3 linked regions of the Xenopus tropicalis genome follow. The protein of the gene in region 2 interacts with the protein of the main gene of each other region in a pairwise test. Links are inferred from orthologs where the notes say so. Each region holds a gene or a part of one and is shown on either strand. Other genes may lie near its edges. The genes, in order: tsga10, znf410 and sertad1.

Region 1 (7,319 bases), on a different chromosome or scaffold from region 2:
ATATGTGGCTGCCATTTACCTTTTTTGGTGTGCTACCACCATTAATGAGGATACTGTCTTAAAATTTTGTGATAACATAGGTGTGGTTTAAAAAATGGGGATGGTCAACACTGGCTTATTGGCCCTTTATTGCATAGACCAGAAAAATTCCAGCCCTGTTATTGATGTTCGGGGAAGGATTCACTACTTACCTTTTGTCAAGCATAGCACTAAACTTTACTAGCAGGGTTACTACAGAGCATATGCTTCTTCTTTATACAAGTAAGAACTATTTTGGTGATTAGGATACCAATATGTGCCTATGTAGGAGGCATTCCTTAAGTAACATGTCTAGTACTATATGCTTGTTGAAGGATGTTGTACTATAGGCTGGTTGCATACAGTATGCACTGGTATATAGCTATATGATACATTTTATGATAATAGGCATGCATGTCTGTCAGTATGTTTATTAAATAAAAAAACTATAACATATGAGATGATTAATACAAGTATTTTTGTTATTTCTTGTATCCATTTGTTTTTGTTCTCACTAATTCAATATCACATTCAAACAATATGTTACATAAATGGACAATGATATTTCTAAGAACATAAGGACAGTCAGAATCTGAATATGTCTTTAATTTTTTGGCAATATAGATGAATTTGTTAGTTTATGGTTGCATACCTTTAACCGCTCCCTTAAACTATCTCGTTCTGTGGTCATTCTTCGTAAATCTGATGTTGCAATGTCACGTTCATTTTCCACACGCTGCAGTATGGCTTGTGCTGTTACACTGGATTTGGGAGTCTTAGGAGATCGTAGGAATTCTCTTCGAAGCTGTGTTATCTCCTGCTGTGCCTGATGTACAATGCTGCATGTTAAAATGCATTTTTTAACCAGTTAAAGGACGCCACTTTCCTGGAACTTTGCTTTTCTTTCAGCAATCCAGGACTGGATGGTATTCATCCCAGGGTACAAAAAAAAAGCTTAGCTCTATGATTGCCAAACATCTGTACTTAATTTTCTAGTATATATCTGGCATGGTGCCAAGAGATTGGCGAATTGCTAATGTGGTGCCATTTTTTAAGAGGGATCCCGTTCTCAACCTGAAAACTGTATTATGTGCAATAGTACATGAAGGAATAATGGCCTGGAACATAATATCTGTAGTTGGACAGAGAACTGACTGAAGGATAGATTACAAAGAGTGCTGATTTTCTAATTGGACCAGTGTCATCTTCTAACAGGGCCCAATGTTTGCATATTTTGAGATTTGTTATCAAACACTATTTTGGACTGATCTAGTTACACCTGGCTGCCCAGTTGAATAACTATGCTGTGCAGCTCATGGTTTGCAAATAAACCAAAACATATACTTAATTGCACCATTTGTTGGTCTGGTATTCCTAACTGACTTTAATGTTATCACTCGATAATAACCCTACACTTCCATCACAAGAAATGACCAGCTTGTGATTACAATATTGAAACATGTGTAACCAGCATTGCCAATCATCCAGTGCTGCTGTGAATATTATATAAAATGTGGGCAGTATAGCATATCTGCAATTCATTAACAGATGACCCTATTAAATGTACCTCATAAAATAGGTTTCATCAGATATCCAAGAATTATCATGATTTAAGTTTGTGAACACTAGAAGTGCACCCAGATGGCCTTTATTTATAAAGTTTAAATGCCAGTCAAATTTTCCTTGATCCGCAAAATTTAAAAACTGAACTGAGTTCAGCACCACCAATCATTCTACATCTTCATATATTATCTTACTAATCTTAACCTACTATAGAATGAAATGTAACCATACATATTTAATCAAGAAACCATTCAGCTGATTTCACTGAGAATTTTTTTAGTGCAGTATAAACATTCCTTCCTTTTTTAGTGCAGTATAAACATTTCCTTCTTCAGCAAAATAAAGGACCCTGAATTATAAAAGTTCTAATGGTGTCTTATTGTTCCAGGCATTACTTTTTTATAGTCATACACAGTAGTTACCCGATCGTAAAGCATGTTGGCTTTGTCCCGGTCTGATGTCAGTACTTTTACATTCGCTTGAATTTCTGCCATGTGACGCTCATATTTCTCTAGCATTGTTTGCAACTCATCTCGTTCCCGAAGGGTCTTCTTGAGTTCTGACTCTAACTGTAACAACTGGAATACATACAACAGAGGGTAAACTAGGAGCACAAAAGACAGGACTGAAATAAATACTAGTACAGGTATAGTATCCATTATCCTGAAACCCATTATCCAAAAAGCTCAGAATTATGGAAAGGCCATCTGCCATAGACTCCATTTTAGTTAAATAATTACAATATTTAAAAATGATTTCCCTTTTCTTTGTAATAATAAAACAGCACCTTGTACTTGATCCCAACCAATATATAATTAATCCTTTTTGGTGCAAAATCAATCCTATTGGGTTTAATGAATGTTCAAATGATTTTTTAGTAGACTTAACAATAATAGGTCTCATACCTGTATTACAAAATATGTCATGTAATGTATAATTGCTATAAGCTAAAATAAGACTGCATTCCCCCACACCATCTTATTGACTAGGGTGCAATAAGGATTTTGGGGTGGGAAAATTCCACCTATCATATCATATGTGAGAGACCAACATTAAAGGGTTTTACAAAAACACAGATAATGTTGTGTGTTTATTTGTTTTAAAACGTCTAGTTAAGCGAACTGTCAATGTGGTTGCTATAAGTTACAGCAGTATGGCAACCTTTGCCTTCCTGCACAAATTACTTTTACTGACTCTGCAAAAAATAGGTGCGCGCATGAAGCAAGCACAATGTTTTCTAAAAAGTTTTACAGGAAACATATTGGATAAATGGAAAACCCCTAAATTTGTAGGCAATTATGAATAATATATGGTGCTGGTTTCACTTTGGGCTAAATATTAATCCTATCTGTACAAATGGCCCCATTATTTGAGCTCCCTATAGACCCTTCTCTGTCCGGGGTGGGCATTTCCTAACGGTCCCTGCCAGAAGCACAGCAGGAGGGGGATAACCAATCACAGCCTTGCACTCACACAAGCAAAGACAGTCTTCAGTAGCCTATTAGGTCAGCCTAGCTGCTGATTGGTTCCTATCCTACAGTGCACTGTACCGAGGGCCGCCGGCTCCCCTGCACATCCAGAGAATTCAGCCAGCAGGAAGTGGAACAGATGGGCGGGGCTAGTGGGGTTTTGGTGGAATTTCTCAATAAATCAGTCCGAAACACAACTTTATTAGCCACAATCCTTCTATATCTAGAGGAGTATGATTCACTGGTACATTCTTAATTTTTATATGATATGTCTCCTTTAATATTTTGGATGGTCTCCAAAGGAAGCAATCTAATTCTTGTTATTTACAAATTAATACATAACAATGTATGTGGATAAGGGTTTTTAACATTGTTGCCAACCTGGGTATTGGTATTAGCTCGCTTGGGACTAAGACTCTGACGTCGCAGGGTTTTCCTCAGATTTTCTGCTTCCCTTTTATAGTGATCTCGTTCCTCTTCCAATGATTTGATGAAGGAGTCAAGTCTAGAAGGAGCCATAGCATTACTCTTCTCACATGCTAAGACTGTGTTCTTTTCTGTTAACAAGGAAAAATATTGTCCTCCACTTAAAAGATTAAAAAACCTTTAGGGTCAGTATTACCCCTTGTACAGCATGAGTGCAAGGGTTTGATTCTCCTTTAATATCCAAAGAAAGTGAATTGCACTGTCAAAACTAAATAAAAGGAAAAAGAGAAATACAATCTTTACAGCACCAGTTGCACGCTTCCATTCACCAAATAGGCGCAAAAAGATTAGAATCTAATTTGAAAATTAAAACATGATTTTCATTGTAATAACAAAATGAAATGAGAGGGAAAACAACAAAAAACACTTGAAAATCAGCAGAATTAAGGAAGTTATCATTTCACAGAGTGATTATTACTAAGGAGCCATGATCATCCAATTTATGTTAGAACCAAAAAAGCTTAAACAAAAAGACTGTGGAAGTCACAGGGTTACATTAGGCAATATAGCTGACTTCAATTAAATAATTACCATAGCTTGGTGGGTCTACATTAATACAAAATTAACAAACTAAGTTACTAAATGTAACTTATAATTCTCTAGGTTAATGAGAGTATCATATGTCAGAGAAAGGAGATTGGTAACAACTACTGAACAAAGAGAAACAATTACTAATTGCACCAAACTCAGTCCTCAAGTCTACAACTATTACAGATCTGTATGCCAAGCAATCATTCCACCTCCTACTTACTCCATCTTACTGCTATAGCCATAAACCAGGGGTAGGCCACTTGAAAGAAATGCACAAATGCTACCCAACAGACCTTTGTCCCTGCCTATGATTTAGTCTGGCTTGAATGTAGTCTTGCAAGAAGAAAATTAATTCAAAAATTGCCTCTATTAGCTTAGATTCCCATTGTAATTAGAATTAGCCATGTCCACACTTGACCTGATGTGCGTTTTTTCTGGCCCCTGAGGAGGCATTTGCTCACATATAAATAATGATGTCATACACAGCAGACAATAAAGCTCATAGGTGAACAGGGTGCCTTAAAAATACCTTAGAGAGCCACAATCGGACTGCAGGCCTCAAGTTGGACAGCCCTGATTTATACCAACAGCAATAGTTAGACATTGCTGCCATTGGTCAACGGGCCACAGTAAAAAGCTGTTACTCTACTCTTCGAATATCATATTCTCTGCCTCCCTTCAATCTCTTTAATTAATCTTCTCATAGCTTGCCACCAGAAATATAATATATAACTCTAGTGTCATTTCATAGGAAGTTACCTGATCTCTCGTGCTTTTCAATCTTTTTGCGTAGTCTGTTTTGATCATCTTGAAGCTGGTCTACGAGAACATTTAGGGTCCTGTTCTCATCCTGTTTTTCTTTGAGTGCAACTTCTGCATGCTCAAGTTGTTCTTTAGTAAGGCTTGCATCCTGAATTGCAAAATACCATTTCAGAACATCATCATACATCAGCTATGAACTATGCAAAATGAAGGATATCAAAATAATTGCAGAAACACAAATTAAAAGCAAATTTTCTTCTCCTCCTGATGTAACAAACTGCAAGTTTTCGAAGCATACAAAACAACAAAAACTTTTTATACTAACATCATCCAGCTAGAAAAAAGACAGAAGGGAAAGAAAATTAAATTACTATTCTATTGCTCCAATACAGTACTGCAAACATAATTAGTGTGTGATTAAAGCAATTCTGAAAACACAGGTATGGGACCTGTTAACAAGAATGCTCGAGACCTAAGTACTCTTTGGACTGCCAGTGGACACCCAATGGTGCCCCTGGAGTACTTCTGCTGTTTGATTTTCTTGATGTACCTCATGTATTCCTCCCGCTTGGTCATTAAGCTGTTTAGCTAGGATCTTGCCAACCTGTGCATCTAGTGATTTCTTTTTTCCTGACACCCTACCTGATTCCTTGTTTCTGAGACCCTATCTGATTCCTTGTTGCTGAGTCCCTGCCTGGTTTCTTTCCCCTTGCCTAGTTCCTGATCTCCAGTGCCTGTCCTTGCGGATCTCCTGGTTTTACCTTTGGCCTTTTCCTTGACTTTGTCTTGCCAGCTGTCTTATCTAGCCTTTAGGCTCTTAAAGGAAAAGTAACACTAACATTCTATCTATTCTACCCTGCACCAATAATTGCTCTATCCTGCACACCATTTATTATTTTGAATGCTTTATTAGAAAATACCTGCTAAAACTTGGCTTCCGGTCATTTGAAATAAGGTGATATGGCGAAGGAAGAAGCAGCATCCACTATGCAACGATCGATTGATCGAGCCTAGCCTGACTCTTTCCTACAGAAGGAAGGCTAGGCTCGATCAATCGATCGTGGCATAGTGGATGCTGCTCCTTCCTTCGCCGTATCACTTTATTTGAAATGACCGGAAGCCAAGTTTTAGCAGGTATTTTTTAATAAAGCATTCAAAATACTAAATGGTTTGCAGGATAGGGCAATTATTGGAGCAGGGTAGAATAGATTTTTTACTTAAAAAATTTTAGTGTTACTTTTCCTTTAACTGCTTGCCAGTCCACAGAGTCTCTCTGAGATATGACACTTGGGTTTTCCAGATAAGGGATCTTTTTGTAATTTGGATCTCCTTACCTTAACTACTAAAAAATAATGTAAACATTAATTAAACTGAATTGGTTCATTTTGCCACCAATAGGGATTAACTATATCTTAGTTGCCATCAAGTACAAGCTACTGTTTTACTATTACAGAGAAAAAGGAAATAATTTTTAAAAATTAGAATTATGTGCTTATCATGAAATCTATGGCAGATTGCCTTCCCATAATTTGTAACTTTTTTGGATAATAGGTTTCTGAAAAACGTGTCCTATACCTGTATATAAAATTTCACAGCTAGAAATGGTCTCTACAGACCTCTTTCACCACTGGAACTAAGTAGGTAAGTAATGTACTCACAGATGTAAGATTGCTGATGGTGTGCTCCAAATTTTCTATGGTTCTCTGGTGCTGGCGAATCTCATTCTGGGAAGAAAAAAGGATTAGTCAACAGACAGAAACCCCACTCTACCCACCAGTAGTGTGTGCTGTAGAGTAACATGCAAATTGTGTATTTAACTATATATAAGGCCAAACCATTTAAGTAAAAGTATATTATTGACAAAATGCATTTTTTACTGGACAGAACAGTGATACAGCTGTTAGAAGTACTGCAATAGGTCCCAGTGTGATTCTGACCAGCATACTGTCTGTACAAAGTGTGTATGTTCTCCCGTTGCTTGTGCAGGGTTTCTCTCCCACTTCAAAAACATAAAGGCAGGTACACCAGTGCATTTTTTTACCCATGGCGACTAAACAGCAAATCAAAGCAAGTCAAAATCTTCTTGGATGCTTAGGGCAACCACACAGATACAATTTAGCACCTGTGTTAGTAAATTAGCTCCCTAAGTATCTGTATAACTGATCACACTATTGTGAACTCAATCATTTACATCAGTGCTGTCCAACTTCTGTGGTACCGAGGGCCGGAATTTTTCTGACCTACGTGGTGGAGGGCCGATAATGGAAGCCAGTTTTGACTACTCCCCTTTTTGAAACCGCACCCACTTGAACACACCCATGTTATCACATGACCATACCCATATTAATGGTTGTAGTACAGCAAAAACTTGCCATACTCTGCCTGCCCTACCCTGCCTGTGTGCCATACTCTGCCTTCCCTACCCTGCCTGGTTGTGCCATACTTGGCTGGTTTGTGCCATACTTGGCCTGTGTGTGCCATACTCTGCCT
Region 2 (7,054 bases):
CTTTGCCCTTGTGAGGGGCCCTCAAGTGGAGGCTGTAGATGCCATAACCCCCCCTGGGCCTTCAGGCTTGATGACTTCCTCCAGTCATCAGAAAGATCAAAAGGGATTGGGTCTGAGCAATTCTAATTGCTCCCTACTGGCCCCGCCAGACCTGGTTTTCAGACCTCCTAACAATGATACAAGACAATCCTTGGACTCTTCCGTTGACCCTTGACCTTCTGACTCAATGCCCTTTCCAGCACCCCAATCTTGGTGTGCTTCATTTAATGGCATGGTTTTTGAATCCTTAGATGCAAGGGGTTTAAAGTGATTAAAACTCTAGCTTTTTCCTTGCAAGCATAACTGAGCAGTAAGTACCTTATGGGTATTCAGGAGCCAGGCATCATTGGATCAGCTCTGCAAAGCTGCTACTGGTCCTCCATCCATTCCTTTACTGAGTTCTGCTTTATTATTTTTACCGCAGAGGATGCTTGCTTTGGCAGGAAGGTCCTCAAGGAGGCAGTGACCTAAACAAGTCCTCACTTCTGTCCACCTCTATTCTTGGGGGATGGCTTTGGTATGTCCCAACAGTGCCCCCCAAATAGACATTAGAGAAAAGGAGATTTTGTGAATCTCTTTATCTCCAGTCACTTGGGGGGCCACAGGACTTCCCTCCCTCAGAATTGATCCTACACTACTGCCTTCTTTCTCAATCTGTATATAGTTTTATATTCATGTTTAACTGCATGTCCTTCTTTGTTCTGTCATATATTGGAAGCATAGTTTCTGTTAGTTTAGTATCCTGTAAAGAGCAGTTAAAGGGATACAAAGAAATGGCATGCGATGAAATTTCCATGCAGCAGGTTTAAGACACTGGGAGGTTCTCTTGGGCTAAAGCTAAATTCTGTTCCATCATTTATTTATACACCTAGGTGGGAATTTTCTTTGTACTGATTTAAAAGCATGGTATTAATTGTGAGTTGCATTTCACCCTGCAAAATCAGCAGCATCAATCATTTTAAAATTTCTAAACTAACAAACAGTGTAATAAAGTTCAGTGGTGTAACTAAGCCCTACAGGAGATGTTTAAGTATCCTATCCTCTCAAAGATTAAAATTATACTGTTTTTTTGTCTGCGCTATTAAAACCAAGCATCAACTCTCCACTATTTCCTCCTTTTTAGAGAAATGCAGTGAAGAAGGTAGAGCAGAAATTTAAATGCACATTGCAAGAGGCTGGGATAACAGAGGAGTTTGTGCAACATAAAGGAGGAGTCCATGAAAATGCAACTAAAAAGGAATCAATCCAAGAAGAAACCTGGGAGGAACACTAGCAGGTAACTGCCAAATACTTCATATATTATTTCCAGAACTAGGTTTTCATGCTAATTATGTTGCATTAGTCTCATAGGGGAATGCAATTAAAGCAACAACAAAAAAATACGTTTTTTAAAGTCAAAATATTCAAATATAATGTACTGTTGCCCTGCAGTGGTAAAAGTTTATATAAAGAAGTTGCTGTATAGCCAAGGGGGCAGCCATTCAAGCTGTAGAAAAGGCAAAGGTTATATATCAGCTATTAGAGAATCTCTGAATACAATAGTGTTTTACATAGCTTATGCATTATCTGTAATGTAACCTGTGCAATTTAGCATTTAGCCCTATTTCAGTTTGAATAGCTACCCCAATGGCTACACAGCAGCCTATTTATATAAACTATAGAAGTGTTTCTGAAGCAAACACAACAGTTTTACCAGTGCAGGGCAACAGTACATAAGATTTAATTACTTTGATACATTTTTGGTATAACTGTTCCTTAAATGTTGTTAGATTTATAAGTCTTGATTTATTCATATTGTTTGATGCATTTCCTTATGTAAGTAATGAACTTATATCACATTGCATATATATATGCTTTTGAATAAATACTTCTCTTTTCTAACCAATTGTTTATATTTTTTACAGTTAGAATCAAACTCTATAACTAGCCAATAAATTATCCTCTTTCTGAATTGCATATGAGATGCCAGTACTTACTGATGTGATTCATTAATAATTATTGTTGTTACAGAATTGCTGACTGCAGAGCTTGACTGTTTAAAAAATTCAGCAGAAAGATGAAATTCATTAAGAAGTGGTTTGCTGTTTAGGAATTCATATTTGTGAACTTATCTATATTGTTAAAAATGCATTAATTAACTACATGTTGCTGACACAAGTAATTTACTATAAAGTTAGAGGTTGTTCTAAAGCAGTGTCTTGTACTTTTTTGGGGTTCAGGCCCCAGTTTGAGAATCAACAACTTGTCAAGGCTCCCGCCAAATAGATAACTGGCTGGTTATCAGGAAGATACATATTAAATAGGCTGTTGAGGACAGACTATGCATAGGAAGATAAGACAGCAACTTGGTCTGAAGGGCCTGAATCAGCCTATGTATGGCTTAAGACTGCAATGGAAAAATCGTCTGGTCTTTTTACATCAAAAAGGAAAAATCGTCTGGTCTTTTTACATCAAAAAACAAACAGTTACAGCAAACTGAAGCCAAACTAAATCCGAATTAACATATGCTAATTAGGTTACGGAAATTTCCAACTTCAGTGTTTATATGACAAAAAGTCACGTGATTTTTAGGATTCGGTTTGGCCAGGAAAATGGCCATTATATAATTACACATCAGAGAATATAGTCTTTTTGTGCCTACTGAATTGGCTTTCATTTTTTTTTTTTAAATATTCTCTAACTGATCATATCCCTTGGACACTATTAGCCACAAAACTGTTACAAGTGAATACCCCTTCCCACTTCTATCCTGAGATATTCAATTCACATGTAATTTCACACTATATAGGTATACCAGAAACAAAGCTCTCAGGGTTTTACTAAATATCAATAAACCGATTAACTAAATCTGCAGTTTAACAGTTTATTTTTCATTGTGCAGTTTAATGAGCCCTTCTATTGGATGGTTTGCAGTTTATGAATCTGAATATAAATTAAAGGAGAAGGTGTGATTGCACAGTTTGGGAGCAGGGCCCTGTGTGTGCAACCAAAAGTTTACACACAAAACTATGTCCTTGTACTTTAGAAATAGTACCAACTGAGGCAAAACCCAAAGACGAAAATCCAAGCTGGAAACTTATTTCAGCCACAGAATCAACTTGCACTGAATGATAAGTACCATGCTTTTTCTGCTTCAGGGTCTTATTTTCATATAATCCAGGCTCGTTTTTCCACATTGTCTCTGCAGGCAAGTTCATTTTTTGCCAATGAAACATAATTTGCTTATACTTTGTTCTTAAGAGACGGAATACTTGTAATCCCACAAAGACCAACAAAAATGCTTGTAATGAACAAAAGTCGTCTAAATAAATGGGTTCAGTTCAACAAAATGGACACATCCTCTTCATATGACTGTCTTTCCGATCCCACAGAAAGCAGATGGGAATGTTGCAGAGTCTCTTGCACAGTGTGTGTACAGTGGGATGAGGTACTTTGGTCTGTAGAACAACAAAACCATGAACATAAACAGTTAAAATCCTTGGATCATTGTCACTTTATGGCCTCCAACAGGCCTAATAAAGCACATGTCTAGGCATCTTTCAGTAGCCCCTCTGGAGTCCACCAGAACATTCATATTCCCAGTGTGGGCTGTTACAGGTATAGCATGTTGTCATATATGAAACAATATTCACTGAATGGTCAATAAGAAATAACCCTTAAAGGACATGTAATCCCCACACACAAAAATTTAATCAGTGAACAGCCTCTTTGAAATATTTCAATACCTGCCACACTGGTTGTCCAGATGCTAATAGTAAGGCTACAACATCCCTTAATCACTTAGATTTCCTTCTCCTCCTGTAACCCACTCAGCCCCATCCCTCAGGAATTTGCTTTGGCTGTTGGCTTGTGGGCATGCTCAGTTGTTCTCAGCTCAGATTACCAAACGCCCTCCAGTCTAGCAGTCAGTAAAGAGATGGCATTGATGGTTCCCATAGAAACTCAGCTCTAGCTGTCTGCTTCAATTTTTTTCTCCTAACTTCCTCTCCTGAGCTCAGCTCAAACAAAGCAGAACTTTTATCAGACAGTTCAGCCTGTGTGAGCCTGTATTCTTGATGAAAAATATGCTGAATAAGGGTCTGTGAGTGTGTGTGTGTATGCTGTTTGAGATTTAAATGTATCTAATGTATCAGAGGAAAAACGGCAGGGGGATATATGCAGTACAAATAATGCCATTAAGGCGGGGGAGATATTTCCTATATTGTATTAAATAGATCAGTACCTTTTATATTTTTCACTGTTTAATAATAGTAATACAATGCTTGTATTTGATTTAAACCATAGTACCTTTAATTTATCATGGAACTCATAATTTCTTTAACACGTTTCAACTAAAATGTGAGATCAGAAGTGATACGATATTTGTTATTAGAGAGTTATAAAGCACAAAGTGATGTCTACCCTAAAATACACCACTCATTCTGCTGTTCATTGGTGGAACGCTACACAAAAAAAATACTAAGTTCCCTAATTTCTGCCACAATAGCAGCAATGCAATCAGATACAAATTAGATGCCATATTCTTATCCTTGATTTATACTGCCTGTTTAAAACCTTTCCCTACAGTAATACTCGGATGGCTAAAAATAATAAAAAAGGACAAGCCCTGTTTTCAACGCATCCACTTACCATCAATGCTCCTCGAGTGATGTTTTCTTAGATGGGCATTTCTGCTCCCACTCTGAGAGAAAGTTTTACCACACACAGGGCACTGATGAGATTTTACCCCTGAAAAACAAGATTAAGATCTTAAACACAAGAATCAATGCTGCAATACTGGATGCTAAAGAAAATAAATTAAGGTACCTGAATGGACAACCTGGTGTTTCCGAAGACTTGAATATTCTGCAAAAGAGCGTCCACACCCCTCCATCTCACAGAGAAATGGTTTCTCTCCTGCAGAAACATATGTGCAGGGGTTAAAAAAAATATTTCCTTATATCTATTCCAGGTCTGTAGAAACAGGCACACACACCAGTATGGATACGGAGGTGATTCTTCAGGTTCCCTGCTGTGGTGAACTGTTTCCCGCAGCCTGGCTCTGAACAAAGGAAAGGCTTTTCCCCATTGTGAGTGCGCATGTGAACTTTCAGTCTTTGTAAGACATAGAATCTCTTCCCACAACCTTCTGACGGGCAAGCAAAAGAACGGTCATTTCTAAAAATTAAAAAAGAAGCACAAGCAAAGTTGGATACATTTCTTTTAACAGCCATAACATAATCACTGGCAAATATAACCACCAGTACATGGTAGTGCAATGGTAAACACTGCTGCCTTGCCTGTAGTACTGGGTTCAGTGTCAGGAAGGGCACTATCTACTAGGATTTTGTATGTTCTCCCTGTGCTTGCATGAGTTTCTAATAAAATTGTCCATAATGTGTGTAAAGTTGATGGGTACCTTGGACTGTAAGTACCACTGGGGCAGAGACTACAGAGATTATATATCATTCATTTTAAAGTATGCAGGCTACACAGGCAATACATGAATAATTCATAATAATTAGAATAATAACCAGCCCTTTGGCTGCCCGGTGTGGGTATGGAGATACAAGAAAAACAATTCAACTGGTCCATCTCACTCGCTACATTACCAAGTGACTCTATATTCAAGGTAGCCTAGTGTCATAACAGGTACTGCGGAAATTTGTAGCACATCTACCAATAAGTATATAGAAATCCTCTTATTTTAAGTTACTGACAATAATTCCACCTCATTCTGTGTCACAGTGCTTGCCTGACAGGATTACTAATCCTCCAACAAGAATTCACTACTTCCTTTTTACCACAGTGTGTAGCCCCCTGTTTAAAAAGTTTGAGGACCCCTGTTTTAAATTATGAGTTACTCTTTTGGCACACTCAATGCCACAGCTTACAGCATTCTATTGTTCATACAGTCTGCCCTCTAAGGCTTTGGAGGAGTGGGTTGCGGGGTAAAGCCTGGACACTGGACAGCAAAGGGGAACTTAAAACCTCAACATTTTAAAACTTTTATCCTTCACCAAGAGGGGGAAGATTACCTTACTACATTATTTTGATTGCATTTATACTTGAAGTAGCATGTCTTTGAGAAATACCATAGAAACAACCCACCTATGAGTTTTCAGGTGGTAACGGAGGTGTGTGGGATACACAAAAGACCTGTCACAGCCTTGGAAAGAGCAATGCAGTCGTTTCTCTCGAGGGGACTGGTTTGGTGGAGGAAGGGAAGTTCGTGACTCTGTTTCTGTAAAACTGCTCAGAGCTGTTTCTCCTAGAACAATAAGAGCAAATAAAATAACTAATTCTATATAACAAAAAATAGAAGCAATCTTTTGTTAATGTTTCCATCTGTTTTCAGACTTGCTGAGGATTATGGTTAGTAATTTACTGAACCTAGCTGTGTATCACCATCAATGACTTGATTCAGGATGAATGCAACCATCTCAGTGAATTGCTTACTAAACATGATCTGTGCAAATAAGTGTGTGTAAGCATACCTGCCCTTCATTTGCCCAGTAAAAGGGGATTTTCTTACTGGTAAACCCTTTCTCTTAGGTCCATACTGTCAGTGCAGAGGTATAAGAAGCTATAAAGTTATTGTTTTTTTTGTCCTGCCTTCAGGGGTGTACAGGTTTAACCCCATACATTTGCACTGACAGGACAGGCAGCCTACAGAAAGGATATTACCACTTACCTCTTTTCAAGTAGGTAGAAATTGCTGCAACTACATTAACTTCCAAATAAGTTTGTATAAACATAAACCCAGAAATAACATAAAATACATTTTGCCTGAGAAAATAAAGGCCATGGGTCATTTTGCACTCTATTAGGCTGATAACACACCAGGAGTGCTCCAGGACATTTTTGAAAACTACAGATTTAACAAACTATACCTAAGTGTAACACTAGAATAACAAGGGACAAAATATGCAAATGCCATTTCTGTAAAGGTTATAAATCTATTTCCCCTTTATAAGTAGATTTTGAAATGTTTTTTGTAACAAAAATCCCATACCAACACTACTTGTCTTGACAC
Region 3 (6,521 bases), about 3.6 Mb from region 2:
AAGAATGACATCAGGGGCTATGAGCGGATATTAAAAAAAGTGTCCTATGAAGAATTCGAAGCACGTCTGTGTGTCTCCAGCCTTTGGTAGGGAGAACAAGCCAGCACCACGCCTCTGCCTCAGCTCTCTGAACCCATAAAAGGCATGCAGTGACATCCTGAGTGCAGGGTGGGGGAGGACTCTCTCCTACACGTTTGAAAACCAACAGCAGGAAGCAGGCAGCGCACGGACAGTGTCTTGTTCTTTTCCTTTACTCTAACTCATGTCAGCTGGGAGGGGTGGGGGGAATGAAGCAGTCTTCCTACAGAATAGCAGCCTTTTCCCATTTCACGGTACTGTGTTTCCCATCATAGAAAACCCCAAAGGTTAAGCTACGGTACAGACAAGGGTGCAAGAGCACCTATTTCATATCTTAGGGGTGTAAATAAAAGCCCCTGTGCTTCACAGTAAAAAAACAAAAAAAAAAACACTCACATTATAATACAATTTCTCCCAGAGCCACTGGGTCTTCTATTTATTGTTACTCCATGGCCAGTGCTCCATTTAACTTTGTGCTCAGGAAAGACATCTCCCTACTGGCTTTCAGGCACCCAATAAATAGATTTTGTTTCCTTCTAATCTAGGCCTTCATTAAACTAAATGTCTAATTTTGTCAGAGCTTATCATATATGATATAAGTATATATTATACAGAGTTGTCAACTTTTAAATAACAACATGCAGGGGATTTTGTGGTGTGCTTGATTGCTCCACCAAAAGTTTTCTGGATGCCTGGAAATGACATCACATGCCCGCGCAAATTATGCTTTGAAGCCAAAAATTGTTACCCGCGCATGCCCAACTGCTTCTAATGACATCGATGAATGTTTACTGCGCACGCACACCCAGAATTTAACGAGGCACACGGGAGATTCAGCAAAAATCCAGATCATATAGAACATTAAATACCATATTCTACCATATTCTACTGTTTGCCTCAATTTTGCCAATACGTGTATCATTTTTCTATTTGAGATTCATGACAAGGAAGTTTAAGGTAATCTTCACAGAAACTCGTTACAATAACTAAATCCCCTCTGTTGCTTAGCATGTACAGGCATATTTTTACAGGTATGGAAAAAAAAAATATACATGCATACATACAACAACAGTATACAAGTACATACTTTTTCTGGCTTAAGTATATTACAGGAATTGCCAACATACAGTACACGTATGGGACCTGTTGGGACCTGGGGTTTTCCAGAAAGAGGGTCTTTTGCATTCTGCAGTTTGGATCTACATGGATCTGTAGAACAGATCCCATAATTGCATCAGAGAAATGAAAGATAACTCTCCAGACAGCACAGAGAAGAGCAACATTTAATCTGTGCATTGCAACTCTACAGTAAACATTTAGCATATTGGAGGCTATTGGAACATGGGCAGGTGTTCCTGCTGCTCATTTGTTAAAACAGGTCTTCGAACAAGAGAATATACAATATTCTGGAAAAAAGTGCAACCTTCATTTGATATTAGAAGGGGAATGTTACTAAAAAGATAAATTCATAGGAAATCCCTTACTAAAGAGCTAGAAAGCAAGCTGCTTGTAACATGTCCATGTTCCATGTCACGTCCATATCCCCAATCCAAACTTTTCCATAGATATTAAATGTAAACTGTTACATATATCCCAGAATTACCTCCTGTAAATAAGAGTTTCCACCTTTGTTCTCTCCTTGGCAAGCAAAACACCAAAAACCAGCTATGAAACCTTTTTTTATTTTGATCATAAATATTCACAAAGGATAAATATGAATCCAATCCACAAATTAATATTAGTTAGAAAATCAATATATTGGCCACAAAATGGCAATAAATACAATCTGCAGATTTTGAAGCTTTCAGATTTAAATATTGACTGTAATAAACAGCCCTTTAAATATCTTAAAATACCCTGAGCCCTGTTACCTTTCAGGGAATAATTTATCTGTAGTTACCATTCAGTTCAGAAAACTTTTATACATACAGAATACATATTTGCATAAATAAGGTTAAACAAGGTCTGGCCTGGTGTGCAGAAAACATCTGTTTGCCAGCTGTACAGGAGGAAAAAAAAGCTTTAACGGCATGTTTTAGTAACTACAAAATTGGTTATCAGGAATTCATCAATAAAATTACTCAGAGAATACAAAGCTGAGAATACAAATGCAATAAAACACCTTTTAGATGTATGATCTAAAACTCAGTACTGCCATACCTTCAGAAAATGTAGTATATTATGTATGATGGATACAACTTTTCTTTCACAAATCTGACAGGTTCTACTAGAACAGCTGTAATTAATATGGCTTGATAACCTTGCATTTTCATACATACAATTCTGCATCCCAGATGTACCAAAGATGCCAGTTGCCTGCGCGATTTGTGTTTGGGCATTCTCCGTTTGCAAGCAAGAAAAGTGAGGTTAGCTGTCATTTTTGAAACACTCTTCAAGGGCATACGTCCATGATATGTTCTAATTTTAGAAAAAATATCTGATTTCTGTATATCTTATTTACTCACATATTTTATAAAAAAAATAAACCTAAAGCTTACATTTTCTAAATTAGTTCTGTTTGTAAAATACTTTTTTAAAGGGACACTACAGTGATCCAAACTTGTATGGCATTAGCTCCTTCATAATATAAAATAAGTTAACAGAAAATTGTAGGCTGGGAAAATGGCGCAAAAGATTTGTCAAGTTATTATGGGATGAGGAGAAAAACTGGTCAGGGTTTATTTCAGACTCCACTTTAGCACCCCCAAAATAACCAAACCAAACTGGAGCATTTCCATCCAGTGAAGGGGAAGATGTACATTACTGCCTAATGTATCAACTGATTTAAATAATGTTAAACTTCCACATACTGAATTGCACTGGCCTTGTGCCGAAAGAAAATTACATGCCTTTCTTTAGATAATAAACCACAATCGTTTAGGAAATTCTTCTACATTAAAAATATGTTAATATTTTACTTCCCTGAAAGTTGCATTTTGCTGGCTATAAATATAAAGCCTTCAGACTATGAGATCAGTTTATTAGGAAATAAATTAATGTCCATTGTGCACATTATTTACAGTAGTGTCTTGTTGCAAGATATTTCATTGAGTCCTGAAAGAACCTGCAGAGGTTGTTAGCAGTTCTTGGCTCTCACCAAAAACATCCATTAGATAGTCCCATTCACTAAGTGCTAGAACAGTGCTTTCACCATCCTTATCTTCAATATCACCTACATTTGAAAATGTTTTAAAGTTTAAAAGATTATTACTCGCCCAAGGATCACTGTCATACATTGAGGTATCAATGTCTTCAAATATGTCCTCTAGGTTGTCCCCCAAAAGGTATGGTGAAGAACTTAAAAAGCTGGACGATGCCAGTTTCATCATATCCTCTGTACTCACTGAAACTGGGTTGACTTTAGGGGCACATAGCTGGTCATCTTCAACCTGTGGAAGAGGTGGGCTGCTCAGTCCATCAAAGTTATTTAAGTCCTCGAGTATGGTAGAAATGGAAGAATATAAGGAGGCATCCATGCTGGAAAGGAGTGGATCTTCTGTGTTTTCAAGGGCTGGCTTCTTGTTCTCAGGTCCCGCTGCAGGAGAACACTCTTTTCTGCACTCCTCAGAGATTTTCCACGTACCTGGAGCACATGGCTCCACCTGCAAGTTGCCCTGAAGACGTCGTAGCGTGTTAGCCACCAACACAAGATGCCTCAGATCAGGCTCTACATGGTGAAGACTACGGTGAAGTTTCACCAGAGAGATGTTCATTAAACAGTGAGACTGGATGGCAGGGAATGAACATGGACACTCCCCTTCTAACACAGGATCAGGGTTGCTCCCCATCCCTTCATCCACCTCCGAATGTTTTCGTTTAATCCCTTTCGCCAACATGGATCTAATAAAAAAAGAAAGGAATATGTAAGATATATCTTGCAATAAACGTAGTAGTGCTCACTAAAGATAACTGTGCCATTTTGCATACATTATATTCAGACTGCTTTAGTACCAGCATATTTACAAAGCAGGTGTCAGTTCAGGGGACATCCTTTGAGGTGTGACATGCTTCTTCCAGTAGCAAAAAGTGAAGGGGATTTAAGAAAGCCAAACTGATGCATGAGTACTTAAGATATAAGATATTATAATAAACAGCAGAACCAATCACTTACAGGTCTTAATGTGGAAAAACAAAATTATTTTTTATTCAACATTTCAGCTCAAGCTTGGTTCTTCATCAGGACCAATTACATAAAGATTGGATCAATTAGTAGGAAGTTAAGGCCTAATTGTGGCTCACAGGTCTATCTGACAAGATCTGCAGGTCCCAATTTTTCAAATTTATAAAACAATGGTATTTGCAGTTTTTTAATAGAAATGTAGTCCCTAAGGTTATCCATCTATTTAGTATTCCGTCTTCCTTACTGTGTGCTTACCAGAACCAGTGTGATTTTTTTTTCAACTACCATGGGTACTTATATAGAGAGTAGGTCTATGTTTTGAAACCTACTATTAACGGGCCCATGAAAATTTAGTGTGCACAGGCACCCCTGTAGGACTAGCAATTTTTGCAACATGTTCACATATTTATTTGTCCATTTCATATTATTTAGCCCTAATGGTATTCCAGACACAATTTACAATTACACAATTTACACAATTATGCAATTTACAAAGGCACTTGGGCCACCTGTGATACATGATGAGGATACCTTTAGAATAACTTAATTTTTTATAATCCTGTTTCTCAACCTTGTATACCCAGATATGACTGGATTACAACTTCCAGCATTAACGTATAATCAATGGTAGAGGCATAGAGAAAAAATGTATACATACCGAAATTTTATTTTTCTTTAGTCCGAAAGGCAGCACATACACCAAAGGGTTTAGTCCCACTCCCACCCTTGTAGCACAGGAAAAAGACAGCCAATACAATTAATCAGAGATGATTTATGAGATTTGGGAGGGAAATACTTGTGCTGCCTTTTGGACTAGAAAGAAAAAGGAAATTTTGGTAAGCACAAATATTTTCTTTTCCTTAGCCCTTCAGGCAGCACATACACCAATTGGATCTAGCATGTAGACAGAAGGATGGGGGGACTTAAAGAACTGCCTCTAAAACTCAGCCTCTAACTGGTTTGAGACCTTTATCGAAATCATCCTGTAAAAACCGAAGGATTGCAGAAACTGGACTGGATATCTCTTTTAGAACACCACTGTTTAATAACTTTCCAAACTTTATTGTACACTTTTGATGTAGATACTTTCTGTGAATGAAATAAAGTTTGAATCACTTCGTGAGAAAGACCATGATCTGTCAAATTTTCTTTATCAAATACCATGCTGCCAGGTTCCACCTGGCCTCTGTGGAAGCTGCCAGTATCTCCCTTTGGATAGGACCATAAATTTCGTGTACTGATGCTTGATCCTGTCTGATCTTCCTCACCAGTCTCTGAACCATCGCAATCAGGGGAAACACATATGCTATTCTGAACTTCCAGAGAACTGACATGGCGTCCAGAAAATCTGGGTTGTCCATCTTTGACAGAAAACAAAATATGTCCACCTTTCTGTTGAGTCTGGGCGCCATCAAGTCGACTTGGGGATAACCCCAAATTTACGCAATCTGATGAAACACTTGGGAATTCAATTCCCATTCCTTCTGGTTCAATTGCCTTCTGCTGAGGAGATCCGCCAGTTGATTTTCCGTACCTTTTATATGTACTGCCCTTAGAAGAATTATATTTTGTTCTGCCCAGAACATTATTTTCTGACACTCTCTCATTAACAGCGGAGCTCTTGTCCCCCCCCTTGTGGATTTATGTGAAAGGTTTATTTTTTTATGCCAGATCCGCTGACCAAGCTTTCAGCCTCAATGCCCTTCTTCCAGATGTCAAAAGTGCCATAGAACTGGTACCTAACGACTCCACCGCCATGTCATATAAAAATCAGTGGTAAACTTAATAGGATATATCATGTCCAGAAGATCATCCCTGGAAGTGCCCAAATCTTCTAAGATATGCAACCAATACTTTAGAGATATTGAAATTGATATAGCGGCCAAAGAAGGCTTACCGATGTTTGCACCCGCCACTTAAGATCTCCGAAATAAGAATACTTCTTCCTTCTGTTTAACTGAAGAAGAAGATAATTCCCTTACTTCCATTTCTGAGTCCACTTGAGACCCAGGCTGTTCTGACATGGTTTTAGACTTAGTAAAGACTTCAAAGGACTTCTCTATAACACCTTTGAACCATGACATAAATTCTTCAGACTTGTCTGAAACCGAACTGGTACATTAACTACAAACTGAAGCTGTACATTCCTCTATGAGGGGTCGTTTAAAGTTGTAGCACGTTCTGTGCTTAGCTTTCCTTTTTCTTTTACCTTCAGACATTAAACAAGAAAGAGAAAAAGGAAAGTCAGTTTGACCCAAGTATACACAAGGAATGCAGTCTGCTGTCATAAGGAATACCGTAGCAGCCTTACCAACAGACGAGC

What was found.
Region 1: the proteins of znf410 (region 2) and tsga10 interact in binary tests that used the Homo sapiens proteins (3 or more experiments, as listed by UniProt). The two-hybrid records come from large-scale screens. The link is inferred for Xenopus tropicalis from reciprocal best matches to the Homo sapiens genes ZNF410 and TSGA10.
Region 3: the proteins of znf410 (region 2) and sertad1 interact in binary tests that used the Homo sapiens proteins (3 or more experiments, as listed by UniProt). The two-hybrid records come from large-scale screens. The link is inferred for Xenopus tropicalis from reciprocal best matches to the Homo sapiens genes ZNF410 and SERTAD1.

Annotation. Positions count from the first base shown.
Region 1 is NC_030678.2:112,845,659-112,852,977, reverse strand, and holds part of tsga10 (testis-specific gene 10 protein), read right to left. Parts: intron 6,554-7,319; coding exon 6,488-6,553; intron 4,978-6,487; coding exon 4,827-4,977; intron 3,608-4,826; coding exon 3,432-3,607; intron 2,160-3,431; coding exon 2,004-2,159; intron 845-2,003; coding exon 671-844; intron 1-670. UniProt on the Homo sapiens protein: Plays a role in spermatogenesis. When overexpressed, prevents nuclear localization of HIF1A.
Region 2 is NC_030684.2:81,886,883-81,893,936, reverse strand, and holds the end of znf410 (zinc finger protein 410), read right to left. Parts: coding exon 7,034-7,054; intron 6,290-7,033; coding exon 6,130-6,289; intron 5,197-6,129; coding exon 5,015-5,196; intron 4,936-5,014; coding exon 4,846-4,935; intron 4,768-4,845; coding exon 4,669-4,767; intron 3,477-4,668; coding exon 3,355-3,476; 3' UTR 2,889-3,354; downstream 1-2,888. Other genes in the region: protein FAM161B, read left to right, coding at 1,163-1,312. UniProt on the Homo sapiens protein: Transcription factor that binds to the sequence motif 5'-CATCCCATAATA-3', and is specifically required to silence expression of fetal hemoglobin in adult erythroid cells.
Region 3 is NC_030684.2:78,239,943-78,246,463, reverse strand, and holds the end of sertad1 (SERTA domain-containing protein 1), read right to left. Parts: intron 6,449-6,521; exon of another isoform or gene 4,857-6,448; intron 3,919-4,856; 5' UTR 3,915-3,918; coding exon 3,123-3,914; 3' UTR 1,740-3,122; downstream 1-1,739. UniProt on the Homo sapiens protein: Acts at E2F-responsive promoters as coregulator to integrate signals provided by PHD- and/or bromodomain-containing transcription factors. Stimulates E2F1/TFDP1 transcriptional activity.